Linked DNA regions of Caenorhabditis elegans. The protein of the gene in region 2 purifies or fractionates together with the protein of the main gene of each other region. This does not show direct contact. Each region holds a gene or a part of one and is shown on either strand. Other genes may lie near its edges.

Region 1 (7,004 bases), on a different chromosome or scaffold from region 2:
AGTTCATCGACACCAATGAGTCTCGCGTCGCTACCGATGTTCTTGTGCTTCCGTCTGGAAATGAGTGTGCCGTGTGGAAGTGGATCGGAAATCAGTCTCAGAAGAGATGGTAGATCATTGTTTTGCTGTATAATTTTTCGATTTTTTAACTCAATTTTTCATTAAAGGTGGAGTAGCGCTAGTGGGGAAATTTCTTTAAAACATGCCTAAGGTATCACAATGACCGAATATCATGATTAAAAAATTATAAAATTAAAAAATGTTTTCTAAATTTTAGGTATATGATTTCTTTTGAAAATTGAAAAAATCTCAGTTTTTACCTACTTCCTATTTGAATTACCACCAATTGGATTTGTTCGATGGAGCGCGCTTGCACGTTTTTAAATTTATTTATTTTATTTTTTGTTATTTTCCACCGATTTTTAATGTTTTCGATGGATTTTTGCTCGAGTTTTAGAGAAAAAGTCAAAATAAATGCAAACAGGCGTAAATCAGTTAAATTAATTAATTCAGGTTCGAAATCGTTTAAAAGCGTTACTTTTTCATTTTAACGCCTGTCATCAGCGTGCCTTTTAATCGAAAATTTGCATTTATTTTAACTTTTTTTTTTCTAAAATTCGAGCAAAAATACACCGAAAATAATAAAAATCGGTGAAAAATAACAAAATATGAAATAAATGAATTTAAAAACGTGCAACAATCGCGCTCCATCGAACAAATTCAATTGGCGGAAATTCAAATAGGAATTAGGCAAAAACTGAGATTTTTCCAATTTTCAAAAAAAATCATATAAAATTTAGAAAATTTTTTTGAATTTTTAAATCATGATATTCGGTCATTGTGGTACAATAGGCATGTTTTAAAGCAATTTCCCCACTAGCGCTACTCCACCTTTAATCCCCCCCCCCCCCCCCCCCAAAAAATTCGAATACTGATGAAATCTGTCCTATTTATTTATTTTATCTTTTATTTTTTTTTTTGTATTTTTCACCGCATTTCTTGCAAAGTTCACAACAATAAACTCATTCACCGAAGGCTCCCTGTAGGCAAAAAAGGGCCTTTAAAGGTAAAAACCGCCTTATATATCTCAAAAAAAAGACCTTCCGCCTAACCGTCTGCGCTCTCTCTCTTCCATGAGATATCTCTCGCGTCGTCTTCAATTTTTCCTCCGCGCGTATTTCCATTAGAAAACGCGATTTTTACAGTTTTTCGTTGAAAAAATGCAAAAAATTGATCGGATTTTCAAATTCACCCATGAAATTTGAATTTTCTAATTGAAAATGTTGAATTTTCACGACGATTTTCCAGCTAAAAATGCACATTTTTAACGTTTTTCTCAGCAAATTTTTAATTTTCCCAATTTTTATCGGCATTTCGCCATATTTCAACACAAAATTGCGCAATTTAATCACATTTTTAGGGCGGAATCAGCGATTTTTGTCTAATTGCAGAGTTTTTCGACTCAAAAAGCTAGTTTTTAATGTTTTTGGTTGAAAATTGGCATATTTTTTCTTGTGGTTTATAATTTGAAAATATCGCCAGAAAATCGACTTTTTGATGGAAATTGGTGAAAATTGCACTCAAAAAATGAAAATTCGTCGATTTTTGATTGATAAATCTAATTTTTATATTAATTTTTTCGATTTTAAAGTGACAATCACGTTTTTAAAGCAAAAAATTCGAGATTTCTGGCAAAAAAAAGGGTTTTTCATGCTAAAATCGACGTAAAAATCGTTTAAAAGCGCATTTTTCCTTGAAAGTACGAAAAAAATCGGTGTTTTTTTTTTTGGGATTTTCCATTAAAAATTGAGTTTTTCTTGATTTTGCCCGTCAATTTATCAATTTTCCGCCAAAAATCACCAGATATTCGACTAGAATACCTCTCGTCTCACAAAACACGAGTTTTTAGTGGAAAATTGAAAAATATCGCCAGAAAATCGACTTTTCGATAATTTTATAGACATTTTCATGAAAAAACACTAAAATCTCGTGTTTTGTGATACGAGAGGTTTTCTAGTCGAATATCTGGAAAAAATTGGGGATTTTTGGCGGAAAATTGATAAATTGACCGGTAAAATCAAGAAAAACTCAATTTTTAATGGGAAATCCCAAAAAAAACCGATTTTTTTCGTACTTTCGAGGAAAAATGCGCTTTTAAACGATTTTTACGTCGATTTTAGCGATTTTCTGTTAATTTTCGAAATATTTTTGCCGAAAGTCATGAAAAACCCTTTTTTTGCCAGAAATCTCGAATTTTTTGCTTTAAAAACGTGATTGCCACTTCAAAATCGAAAAAATTAAGATAAAAATTAGATTTATCAATCAAAAATCGACGAATTTTCATTTTTTGAGTGCAATTTTCACCAATTTCCATCAAAAAGTCGATTTTCTGGCGGTATTTTCAAATTAAACCACAAAAAAAAATATGCCAATTTTCAACCAAAAACACTAAAAACTAGCTTTTTGAGTCGAAAAACTCTGAAATTAGACAAAAAAAAGAATATCGCCAAAATCGACGTAAAGATCGTTTAAAATCTCATTTTTCCTTGAAAGTACGAAAAAAATCGGTTTTTTTTTGGGATTTTCCATAAAAAATTGAATTTTTCACGATTTCAACCGAGACAATTTATCAATTTTCAAAATCCCCAATTTTTTCCAGATATTCGACTAGAAAACCACCCTCGTATCACAAAACACGAGTTTTTAGTGGAAAATTGGAAAATATCGCCAGAAAATCGATTTTTCGATAATTTTATAGACATTTTCATGAAAAATCGACGTAAAAATCGTTTAAAATCTCATTTTTCGCTCGAAAGTTTGCAGAAAATGCGATTTTTTTTTTGAGATTTTCCATAAAAAATTGAATTTTTCACGATTTCAACCGAGGCAATTTATCGATTTTCCGCCAAAAACCCCCCATTTTTTCAGATATTCCGATTTTGAAGAAAAAAAACACGTTTTCAAAGCAAAATCATCGAGATTTCTGGCATAAAAATGGGATTTTCATGACTTTCCGCAAAAATCCAACTCGAAAATTAACAGAAAATCGTCGTTTAAAAGCGCTTTTTTTTTTTGGGATTTTCCACATAAAAAATTGTGTTTTTCTTGATTTTGCCCGTCAATTTATCGATTTTCCGCCTCAAAAATCCCCCATTTTTTTCAGATATTCGACTAGAAAACCCCCTTCCTCGTATCTAGAATATCGCTAGAATTAACGGATTGATCAAAAAATCGCCAAAAACCCGCCGAAAATGGGTGTCCCCAAGTTCTACCGATGGACATCGGAGCGATATCCGTGTCTGAGTGAAGTGATCAACGAATCGCAAATTCCGGAATTCGACAATTTGTATTTGGATATGAATGGAATTATTCATAATTGCTCGCATCCGAATGACGATGACGTCACGTTTCGAATTACGGAAGACGAGATTTTCGTGAATATTTTCGCGTATATTGAGGTAAAGAGCCGCCGAAAAAATTTGCCCAAAAACGGAGAAATTTGCAAAAAAACCGGCGAAAATTAGTTCAAAAACGGGGAATTTCACAAAAAAAGAGCGAAAATTAGGCTAAAAACGGCGAAAATTGCCAAAAAATGGAGGAATTTGCAAACAAAACGAGGAATTTCACAAAAAAAAAAGAGCGAAATTTGCAAAAAAAAACGGCGAAAATTAGTTCAAAAACGGGGAATTTCACAAAAAAGAGCGAAATTTGCAAAAAAAAAACCGGCGAAAATTAGGCTAAAAACGGCGAAAATTAGCCCAAAACCGGCGAAAATTAGCTCAAAAACAAGGAATTTCACAAAAAAACAGCGAAAATTAGTTCAAAAACAGGGAATTTCACAAAAAACGGAGAAAATTAACCCTAAAAACGGAACATTTTGAAAAAAAAACATCAAATTTCTGTCAAAAACCCGCCAAAAATTGGATTTTTTGAGCTTATTTACGTCTGAAAATGGAAGAATCGGCCTTCTGGATCTCGGCCACGGCCATGTGTCGATTTACACGGCTCGTGTACTCCCCGAGGACAAGATTTTACAGTTTTTTACTAAAATCCCTGATTTCGGGCAGTTTTTGCCTATTTTTTTTTTTTGGATTTTATATTAAAATTTGCCGCCGAAAATCGATAGTTTTACTGTTGAAAAAGTAGAAATTTGGCGGTTTTCAGATCGATTTTCACCGAAAAAAGGCGATTTTAATGTTGAAAACGATGAAAAAAAATGTCCAAAAACTGCAAAATCACCAAAAAATCGAATTTTGGCGGTTTTTCAGCAGAAAATTGTCTGAAAAATCACGATTTAGTGCGCATTTTTCCCGTTTAAATTGAATTTTTTTTTCAAAAAATTCAAATTTTGCTGTAAAAAATGACAAAATTTGATATTTTTCTCTTTTCAGAATCTCTACAATCTAATTCGCCCGCAAAAGGTGTTCTTCATGGCCGTCGACGGTGTGGCTCCGCGAGCAAAAATGAATCAGCAACGGGCGAGACGATTCATGTATGTGGAAGAGCTGCTTTTAGCAGGAAAAAAGGAAATTTGGTGAAAAATTGGCGATTTTTGACCAAAAAATTGTGCTTTTACATTGGAAAACTACTCATTTTTTTCGTATTTTTCCATTAAAAAAACCAATTTTTTGTATTTTTCACTTTGAAAATTCAATTTTTCGGCTCAAAAACTGCAAAAATGTCCAAAATTTGTGATTTTTCACCTAAAAAAAAAATCCAATTTTTGTTATTTTTCACTGCAAAAAATTCAATTTTTCGGCGCAAAAATGTCAGAAATAACCAAAAATTGTGCTTTTTCATTTGAAAAAAATCCAATTTTTGTTCTTTTTTACTCAAAAAATTCAATTTTTTTCGGCTCAAAAACGTCAGAAAAGCTCAAAAAATCTAGCAAAAATTGCAATTTTTCCAGGTCAGCCCGAACAGCCCATACTCAACTCGCAAAAGCGCTGGAAAATGGCGAAATTATGCCATCTGAAGCTCGATTCGACTCGAATTGTATCACCCCGGGCACATATTTCATGACACGGCTTCATCAGAAGCTTGACGATTGGATTAAAACGAAATCGGCGACCGATTCGCGTTGGCAAGGCCGAAAAATTATTCTCAGCGGTCACAATGTGAGGAAAATGATGGCTCTCTTCAGATTGAGCTCCAGATTTGCTCAAAAATCAATTTTCTTTAAATTTTTCAGGAAAAAATTGATGAAAATTCCAATTTCTGATGAAATTTCTAGGAAAATTTGGATTTTACAGCAAAAAAAAAGTGGTACTTTTTACAATTTTGCTGTGAAAATTGCGATAAAATCCAACAAAATGGCTGAAAAATTTTTTTTGACCAAAAAAATCGAATTTGGAGCTCAGATTTGCTCAAAAGTCAATTTTTTTTCATATTTTTTAGGAAAAAATCGATGAAAAATTGCAATTTTTCAGGAAATTTTGGATTTTAGACCCAAAAATGAAGTGTTTTTTCAACAAAAAAAACCCGATTTTTTTTTATGTTTTAGAGCTAAAAATCAGCATTTTAGTCCAATTTTTTTTATAAAAACGTTAAAATTTGTATATTTTTGCTTTAAAAATTGCGGTGTTTTGGGCCTTTAGGTGAAATTTTGCGAACTTTTTTAGAGAAAAAACTGAATTTTTGCTTTAAAGCGTTTATTTATTCGAATTTTCGAAAAAAAATTTCACAGATTTCAAGCCAATTTTGGCTTAAAATCAAGAAAAAATCACGTTTCTTCGTCTATTTTAATGCTAAAAACCGGGTTTTTGAGTAAAAAAGTGTTAAATTTCAAATTTTTATTATTTAAAAAAGATTCGGAAAGCGAAAAATTGCAATTTTTCTTGAAATTTTTTAGAAAATTCGGATTTTAGGGCGAAAAAAATAGAAATTTGTACGTTTTTGATGTAAAATAGCTGAAATTTGCTCAAAAATCAATTTTTCTCATTTTTTGAAGGAAAAATTAATTCGCTTTTCACTAAATCTGACAGGGAGCCGGAAAATTCGGAAAATTTGGCTCAGAAACTGATTTTTTTGCCGAAAAAACCGCGAAATAAGCGGCTAAAAACGAGAAAAAAAAATGCCAAAACACTCAAATTTTCATCTATTTTGATGAATTTTGTAGCAAATTTCATGGAAAATGATCTAGAAATTCGGCAGAAAAAATGCATTAAAATTTGCATTTAAAAAAAATTTGTGAAAAGTAATTCGCAATTTTTCGCTGTCAGATTTAGTGAAAAGCGAATTAATTTTTCCTTCAAAAAATGAGAAAAATTGATTTTTGAGCAAATCTGGGCTCCAAAAATGATAATTTTCAGCTATTTTTCATCATGAAAAACGTACAAATTTCTACTTTTTTCCTCATAAAAAACCGGATTTTTCCAGAAATTTATTTTTGGAAAACTCTAGGTGGTCCAAAAAAATTTTTTTCAGCCATTTTGTTGGATTTTATTGCAATTTTTACAGCAAAATTGTAAAAAGTACCACTTTTTTTGCTGTAAAATCCAAATTTTCTTAGAAATTTCATTAAAAATTGGAATTTTCATCAATTTTTTCCTGAAAAATTTAAAGAAAATTGATTTTTGAGCAAATCTGAGCTCCAAAAATGATAATTTTAAGCTATTTTTCATGAAAAACGTACAAATTTCTATACTTTTTGCGTCATAAAAAACCGGATTTTTCCAGAAATTTCGAGAAAAAATGCAATTTTTCATCGATTTTTTCCTAAAAAAATATGAAAAAAAATTGACTTTTGAGCAAATCTGGGCTCCAAATTAGATTTTTTTTTTTGGTCAAAAAAAATTATTTTCAGCCATTTTATTGGATTTTATTGCAATTTTCACAGCAAAAATACTCAAATTATTACTTTTTTTGCTGGAAAATCCAAATTTTCATAGAAATTTCATTAAAAATTGGAATTTTCATTAATTTTTTCCTAAAAATTATGAAAAAAATTGACTTTTGAGCAAATCTGAGCTCCAAATTCGATTTTTGTTTGGTCAAAAAAAAAA
Region 2 (7,586 bases):
TTAAATAATGCGCTACTTATGCTCAATTGACCCAGTTTTCTCGAAAAAGTAGGATTCTTCATAAAAAATAAATGTTAAATTGAATGTTATACTATATATATAGTTGTTCTGAAACGTTACAGCTCTGCGGAATAGGTAAAGGTGGTGTAGTCGAATTTTTTTTATTGCCTTATTAGACTCAAAATTGTCTGAAAACACCGAATTTCATAATGAAACTTCTTGAAAACTTGACAAAAAAAAGTTATGGCGGCTCAAAAAATGGCCTAAAATTAGTTAAAATTTGAAATTTGACCGACTTGTCAAGCGGCTGGAAACACTTTTTTTTTGAAATCACCGTCAAATTTTGAGTTTACAAGTTGATTATCTTGCGTTTTAAACTTGATTAAGGTATTTAAAAATCGATGTACGGCGAGATTTTTAATTTTTTTTATCGATAAACTCGCCGTCCATCGATTTTTAAATAGCTTAATCAAGTTTAAAACGCAAGATAATCAACTTGTAAACTCAAAATTTAACGATGATTTCAAAAAAAAAAATTTCCAGCCGCTGCGACATTGATAAGTTAGTCAAATTTCCGATTTTAACTAATTTTAGGCCATTTTTTGAGCCGTCATAACCTTTTTTTGAAAAGTTTTCAAGAAGTTTTATTATGAAATTCGGTGTTTTCAGACAATTTTGAGTCTAAATAAAGCAATTTGAAAAAAATCGACGACACCACCTTTAACTATTCCGCATTTTAGAGCTTTAACGTTTCAGAACAACTATATATATAGTATAACATTTAATTTAACATCTATTTTTAATGAAGAATCCTACTTTTTCGAGAAAACTGGTCAATTGAGCATATTGAGCGCATTATTTAATTGAATTACTATACTAGTAACCAATGAATAGAATTATAAGATTTTGGATGGAAAATTGAATTAAAAAGTGTATAGTCTTGTTTTGTTCGAATTGTTCACTGAAATCCGAGAATTTTCAATAATTCTCTAATTTTTCGCTATTCATTTTGCATTTACTTAGTGTTTTTTTTTTGGCATTTTTCGGCATTTTTCAGGCTTCTAACCCAAAAAATCCAATTTTCCCTGCAATTTATTACCTTGAAAACGTAGCTTCTCGAGATTCCCTGAGTGTTGAGCTCATGCAGCTGGACCATTCTACCGTAGGTGATCAATCCGACGAGAGCATCGGCTGGGAGCAGCGAGAGAGCAGTCTGAAATTGGAAAAATTGGGAAATTTTGCCCAAAAATCTGAATTTTACGGCAAAAATTGCCAATTTTCATGAAAAATAACACTATTATGTTTAAAAAAGTCGAATTTTCAAGCGAAAATGAGCAGAAATTCCCATTTTTCAGCAGAAATTCCCATTTTTGAGTGAAAAAATCACAAATTTTGAGTTGGAAAACCGACGAATTTTCGAGCAATTTTCCGCGAAAATTTTAAAAAACCGCCGTTTTTTTCTCAATTTTCTGCAATTTGTCCCGTACTTGAAGGCATTCTTTCAGCGATTTCAGCTCCTCTGCAGTCATACACGTGTCGACGACGAAAACGAAGATCGGCGGCATTGTGGTGGCTTTCTGGAATAAAGATTTGGCTTAAAACTCGGATTTTTCAGCATTTTCTCACTCGAAGCGTGTACTCAATGGTTGTAAATTGTGGATAGAGCTCCGGCGGGCGGTTATCCTCGGCAATTGCCGCATAATGAGCCGGGAACGGATTCCGATTGTTGCAGAATGGGCACATCCAGATTTTGGCGCGATAATCGACGGCGCTGAAAGCATCATTTTTCGGGGTGAAAATCGGGCAAAAAAAGGCCTGAAACTCACCAAAGTGGGTTTAAAATCGCTTTACAGCTGGCTTTTTGGCACAAAACCGGATCATATTCCAGTGGTGGTTGGGCGACTTCTGTTGATGGGCGCTCCTGGAAAAAAAATTTGGTTTTTGAGAGAAATTTGATGAGAAATCGTGAAATTTCAGCTTAAAATCGGCTTGAACTCCGCAAAATTGGATTAGCAGCGCCTAAAGCTTGTAGTTTGTAGTTTAGCAGCGCCTAAAGCTTGTAGTTTGTAGTTTCAGCAGCGCCCAAAATTGGATTAGCAGCGCCCAAAACGTGTAGTTTGTAGTTTAGCAGCGCCCAAAATTGAATTAGCAGCGCCCAAAACTTGTAGTTTGTAGTTTTAGCAGCGTTCAAAATTGGATTAGCAGCGCCCAAAACTTGTAGTTTGTAGTCTAAGCAGCGCCCAAAATTGAATTTTTTTTTTGCGTTTCTCAGCGGAATTTTACGATTTTTGCAGAGATTACCGACTTTTTAAGGTAAAAATGCAGAAATTCCGATGGAAATTGAGAAAAAAATCGCGTTTTTAATCGAAAAATTGCTGAAATTCATGCCTTCGGTGTTTCGAAGCTGCCGATCGGCTCGAGCAGCTACCAAATTTGAATTTTTAGAAGATTATAACGAATTTCTGGCAAAAAATGAAGCAATCCACTAAAATTTGCAAAGATTCGGAGAAAATTGATGGAATTTCGATGGATTTGAAGAAAAATTGCTGAAAATAGGCTTTTCCTCAGCTTTTGGCGCTGCTCGGCAGCTACAAAATCCAATTTTCAATGCTTAAAATTCAATAATTCCACGAAAAATTCGAAGAAAATCCAGTTTCCGCGCCTCAGTTTTACCTTCAGCGGCGTGAAAAAGCAGGTGAGCGGGACGACAAGCTTCTGAGAATCCACTCGACTGTGTGGCCACATGTTCCACGTGAATTGGACGCCATCGTTCGCCTGTTGAGCACCCAAATATTCTTCCCAAGTGGCCATTTTTACTGGAATAAACTGGTAATGAACTTTTTATCGCGGAAAATGATGAAAAACGAGGAGAATACGTGGATTACGTGTGAAATTCTGGTTTTTCACCATTAAATTTTAATTTTATTAATATAAAACACTGAAAATCACGTTTAATAGCGAAAAATCGAGTTTTTTGGGTTTTTATGGTTGCCCAATCAATTTTCGTCATTTTTTCGACATATGCAAGGTGAAAACTATGATTTTTACACTAAAATCAATAAAAATCGACTTATTTTCAATATTTTAGCAAGAAAAATCAGAAAAAATGGTGAAAAACGAGTGAAAATCTGCAAAATTCCAACAGAAAATGTACACGTGGAGGAAGATGGCCGAGAAAAGAATTGGAGTTTTCTAGGCCGCGGCCAGTGTGTTGTTTTACGATGCGTGACACTTTTGAAAATGTTTTTTGAGTTGGTTTTCTCGATTTCTACCGTTTTTCGTTGCAATTTCTGTATCTTTTTGGTGAATAATAAGTGAAAATCTCGATTTTTCAGTATGAAACGGATCGCCGACGAGGAACTTGTGCGAGAGGAGCGTGCAGAGGAGAGTACACAGAAATGGCTGCAGGATGCCAAGTTTCAAGAGATTTTAGGCGCTGATTCGTCGCATAAGGTGAGAAAATCAATAAAAAGTGAATTTTTTGCATTAAGAAACAATAAATTTCACCTAAAAATCATAAAAATCAATATTTTCTTCCAGTCTCTCTTCGTTTTGCTCTCCCATCCCGATGGATCTCAAGGCATTCTGCTTGCCAACAAGTCTCCGTTTTCCGAAGAAAAATCCGATATCGAGAAGCTTCTGGCGACTGCACAGCTTCAAGAAATCTCCAGAAATGACATTTTCGGGTCCTATAATATAGAAATCGATCCCAAATTGAATTGTAATCCACACAATCTTGCTTAAATTAATTTTTAATTCAATTTTCAGTGCTAAAATCTCAACTAATCTACCCGATAAACGATCGTCTCATTGCAAAATACCGTCAGGAGGAGAAATTCGTGATTCGAGAGACTCCAGAGCTTTATGAGACTGTTACAAGGCCGTATATTGAGAAATATCAGCTGAATCTCAATGTAAGCAGCGAAAAAATGAAGAAAATCGGAGAAAATACCAAGAAAATGAGTTTAGCAGCGCCCAAAACGTGTAGTTTGTAGTTTAGCAGCGCCCAAAACTTGTAGTTTGTAGTCTTAGCAGCGCCCAAAATTGAATTAGCAGCGCCCAAATCTTGTAGTTTGTAGTCTTAGCAGCGCCCAAAATTGAATTAGCAGCGCCCAAATCTTGTAGTTTGTAGTCTTAGCAGCGCCCAAAATTGAATTAGCAGCGCCTAAAACGTGTAGTTTGTAGTGTTAGCAGCGCCCAAAACGTGTAGTTTGTAGTCTAAGCAGCGCCCAAAATTGAATTAGCAGCGCCCAAAACGTGTAGTTTGTAGTCTAAGCAGCGCCCAAAATCACGATTATCGATTTTCACTCGTTTTTCTTCGATTTTTTCGAATTTTTTGATTTTTCTTTTGGTTTTAAGTGAAAAACAAGACAGAAAATGAGAATATTCTGCAAAAAATTGACAAAAACCATTAAAAATTCGTAGATTTTCTCTGTTTTTCAGAGTTTTTAGCGTTCAAAGTGAATAAAAATTCGGAAATTAGTAGAAATACTGAAAATCGCACAATTTTAAATGAGAAAATGCGATTTTCCGCTCGAAATTTCTTTTTCAAAAATCAATTTTTCGTTTCAGTGGGTGTACAATTGCCTGGAAAAGCGCTCGGAAGTCGATAAAATCGTGTTCGAAGACCCCGACAATGAAAATGGCTTCGTACTTCTTCAGGATATCAAATGGGACGGAAAAACCTTGGAAAATCTCTATGTTCTCGCTATTTGTCACCGCCACGGCCTGAAATCTGTCCGGGATTTGACTGGAGATGATTTGGAGGTAGAAAATCGGATTTTCTACCGGAAAATTGCAATTTTCGCTGAAAAAAAAAGCAAAATCACTCTAAAATGACGATTTTTCGCCCAATAAATCGCAAATTGTAGTTAAAAAACGTGAAATCTCTCTAAAATTGTCCGGAAATGGCAAAATCAAGATTTTACCGAAATTTCCGTCAAAAATCACCAAAAATGCAAAATATCTCTGAAAATCTGCAATTTTAGGCACAAAAGCAAAGAAAAATGTCAAGTTTCGCACAATAGTACCGATATTTATCTGAAAATTACATTTTTCCACTCAAAAATCGACAACTTGTAGTTTGTAGTCTTAGCAGCGCCCAAAATTGAATTAGCAGCGCCCAAAACTTGTAGTTTGTAGTTTAGCAGCGCCCAAAATTGAATTAACAGCGCCTAAATCTTGTAGTTTGTAGTTTTAGCAGCGTTCAAAATTGAATTAGCAGCACCTAAATATTGTAGTTTGTAGTCTAAGCAGCGCCCAAAATTGAATTAGCAGCACCTAAATATTGTAGTTTGTAGTCTAAGCAGCGCCCAAAATTGAATTAGCAGCGCCCAAAACTTGTAGTTTGTAGTTTAGCAGCGCCCAAAATTGAATTAACAGCGCCTAAATCTTGTAAATCTCGGGCGGAGACAGCTCGCCACGCCCACATCGAGTTAAACGCAGCGGCGCGCGGAACCCGTAGGATGTCCGCGGCCTGATATTGGTTGGTCCCAGAATTTTTGCTTTTTCTCCGTGAGTAGACGAGAAAAAGGCGGGGCCTAAATTTGAGGTTTTCTGCAGTACACGCCACGCAGTTTTCTTATTTTGAGTGTAAGCAGCGCCCAAAATTAAATTAGCAGCGTCCAAAACTTGTAGTTTGTAGGCTAAGCAGCGCCCAAAAATTGTGTAGTTTGTGAAATTTCCGGTAAAATGCTAGTTTTTCTTGCAATTTTCACTGAAATTTCAAGTTTTCGAGTCAAAAAATGCCAATTTTCACCGTAAAATATCGATTTTTGAGTGAAAAAAGCCAAATTCCCTTAAAAATTCAAAAAATTTCAATTCCAGATGCTGTACAACATGCGTGACAAGTCCCTCGAGGCAATAAATCAGAAATATGGCCTAAAAACCGATCAAATCAAGTGCTATTTCCATTATCAACCGTCTTTTTATCATCTTCACGTTCATTTTATCAAGTAATCTCTCTCTGAAAACCTGGGAAAAAACTAAAATTTTCTCGAATTTTCAGCCTAAAATACGATGCCCCGGCGAGCACTACAATGTCGGCTATCCTGCTCGATGACGTCATCAACAATTTAGAGCTTAACCCGGAGCATTATAAGAAATCCACGTTGACATTTACCCGAAAAAATGGCGATAAACTGATGGAAATGTTCCGGGAAGCTTTGAAAAATTGACAAATTAATAATTTTTTGCGTTGATTTTTTAATTTATAAATTGTTTTTTTTTCTGGATTTTTCACTCACAGATTTTCCCCCCGCCGAAAATTCTGTAATTTTCAGTGATTTTCTCTATTTTTCACCCCCCCCTCCCCCCTCAAAATCCCCGTTTTTCACCATTTTTCAGCCAATTTTAGATGTCTATCGCCATTCTATATGGCAGTGAGACGGGCACCGCACAGGATATCGCCGAATCTCTGCGACGGGAAGCTCAACAGCGACATTTACAGGCGAGAGTTCACGAGTTGGACGAATATGATGTTTCGGTGAGGAGGAATTGGAGGCTGAAGAAATCCATGGAAATTCGGTTATTTACATGAAAAATGTGAAAAAAAAACTTCAAAAATTCCAATTTTGCCGAAAAATTCACATAAAAACCATGGAAAACGTGGAAAAATTAAAGTTTAGCTAAATTTAGCAAAAAAATTGCTGAAAACTTCGAAAAATTCCGAAAAATCTGCGTGGAAAATCCAATTTATTCAAAATCCTGACTGGAAAAATGAAAAATTTCGGGAAAATCCGCGTGGAAAACATGAAAATTGGTTTAGCAGCGCCCAAAAATTGTAGTTTGTAGTCTAAGCAGCGCTCAAAACTTGTAGTTTGTAGTCTTAGCAGCGCTCAAAACTTGTAGTTTGTAGTCTTAGCAGCGCCCAAAATTGAATTAGCAGCGCCCAAAATCTTGTAGTTTGTAGTGTTAGCAGCGCCCAAAATCTTGTAGTTTGTAGTCTTAGCAGCGCCCAAAACTTGTAGTTTGTAGTCTTAGCAGCGCCCAAAATCTTGTAGTTTGTAGTCTTAGCAGCGCTCAAAACTTGTAGTTTGTAGTGTTAGCAGCGCCCAAAACTGAATTAGCAGCGCCCAAAAACTTGTAGTTTGTAGTCTTAGCAGCGCCCAAAATCTTGTAGTTTGTAGTCTTAGCAGCGCTCAAAATTGAATTAGCAGCGCCCAAAATTGAATTAGCAGCGCCCAAAACTTGTAGTTTGTAGTTTGGCAGCGCCCAAAACTTGTAGTTTGTAGTCTTAGCAGCGCCCAAAATCTTGTAGTTTGTAGTCTTAGCAGCGCCCAAAACTTGTAGTTTGTAGTCTTAGCAGCGCCCAAAATCTTGTAGTTTGTAGTTTAGCAGCGCCCAAAATCTTGTAGTTTGTAGTGTTAGCAGCCCAAAATCTTGTAGTTTGTAGTCTTAGCAGCGCTCAAAACTTGTAGTTTGTAGTCTTAGCAGCGCCCAAAATCTTGTAGTTTGTAGTCTTAGCAGCGCTCAAAATTGAATTAGCAGCGCCCAAAATCTTGTAGTTTGTAGTGTTAGCAGCGCCCAAAATCTTGTAGTTTGTAGTCTTAGCAGCGCCCAAAATCTTGTAGTTTGTAGTCTTAGCA

The links. The genes of interacting proteins can lie anywhere in the genome.
Region 1: the proteins of dcs-1 (region 2) and xrn-1 purify together in Caenorhabditis elegans (affinity purification with western blotting, with the first as the bait; one study listed by BioGRID). This does not show direct contact.

Annotation. Positions count from the first base shown.
Region 1 is NC_003280.10:14,065,746-14,072,749, forward strand, and holds the start of xrn-1 (5'-3' exoribonuclease 1), read left to right. Parts: upstream 1-3,161; 5' UTR 3,162-3,251; coding exon 3,252-3,458; intron 3,459-4,391; coding exon 4,392-4,492; intron 4,493-4,909; coding exon 4,910-5,117; intron 5,118-7,004. Other genes in the region: lem-2 (LEM protein 2), read left to right, coding at 1-113.
Region 2 is NC_003283.11:20,086,493-20,094,078, reverse strand, and holds dcs-1 (m7GpppX diphosphatase), read left to right. Parts: upstream 1-3,335; 5' UTR 3,336-3,336; coding exon 3,337-3,453; intron 3,454-3,540; coding exon 3,541-3,721; intron 3,722-3,768; coding exon 3,769-3,914; intron 3,915-4,572; coding exon 4,573-4,767; intron 4,768-5,826; coding exon 5,827-5,954; intron 5,955-6,007; coding exon 6,008-6,176; 3' UTR 6,177-6,231; downstream 6,232-7,586. Other genes in the region: sec-23 (Protein transport protein SEC23), read right to left, coding at 1,100-1,213, 1,488-1,577, 1,627-1,771, 1,827-1,921, 2,674-2,811; fre-1 (NADPH-dependent diflavin oxidoreductase 1), read left to right, coding at 6,356-6,484. UniProt on the Caenorhabditis elegans protein: Decapping scavenger enzyme that catalyzes the cleavage of a residual cap structure following the degradation of mRNAs of the 3'->5' exosome-mediated mRNA decay pathway.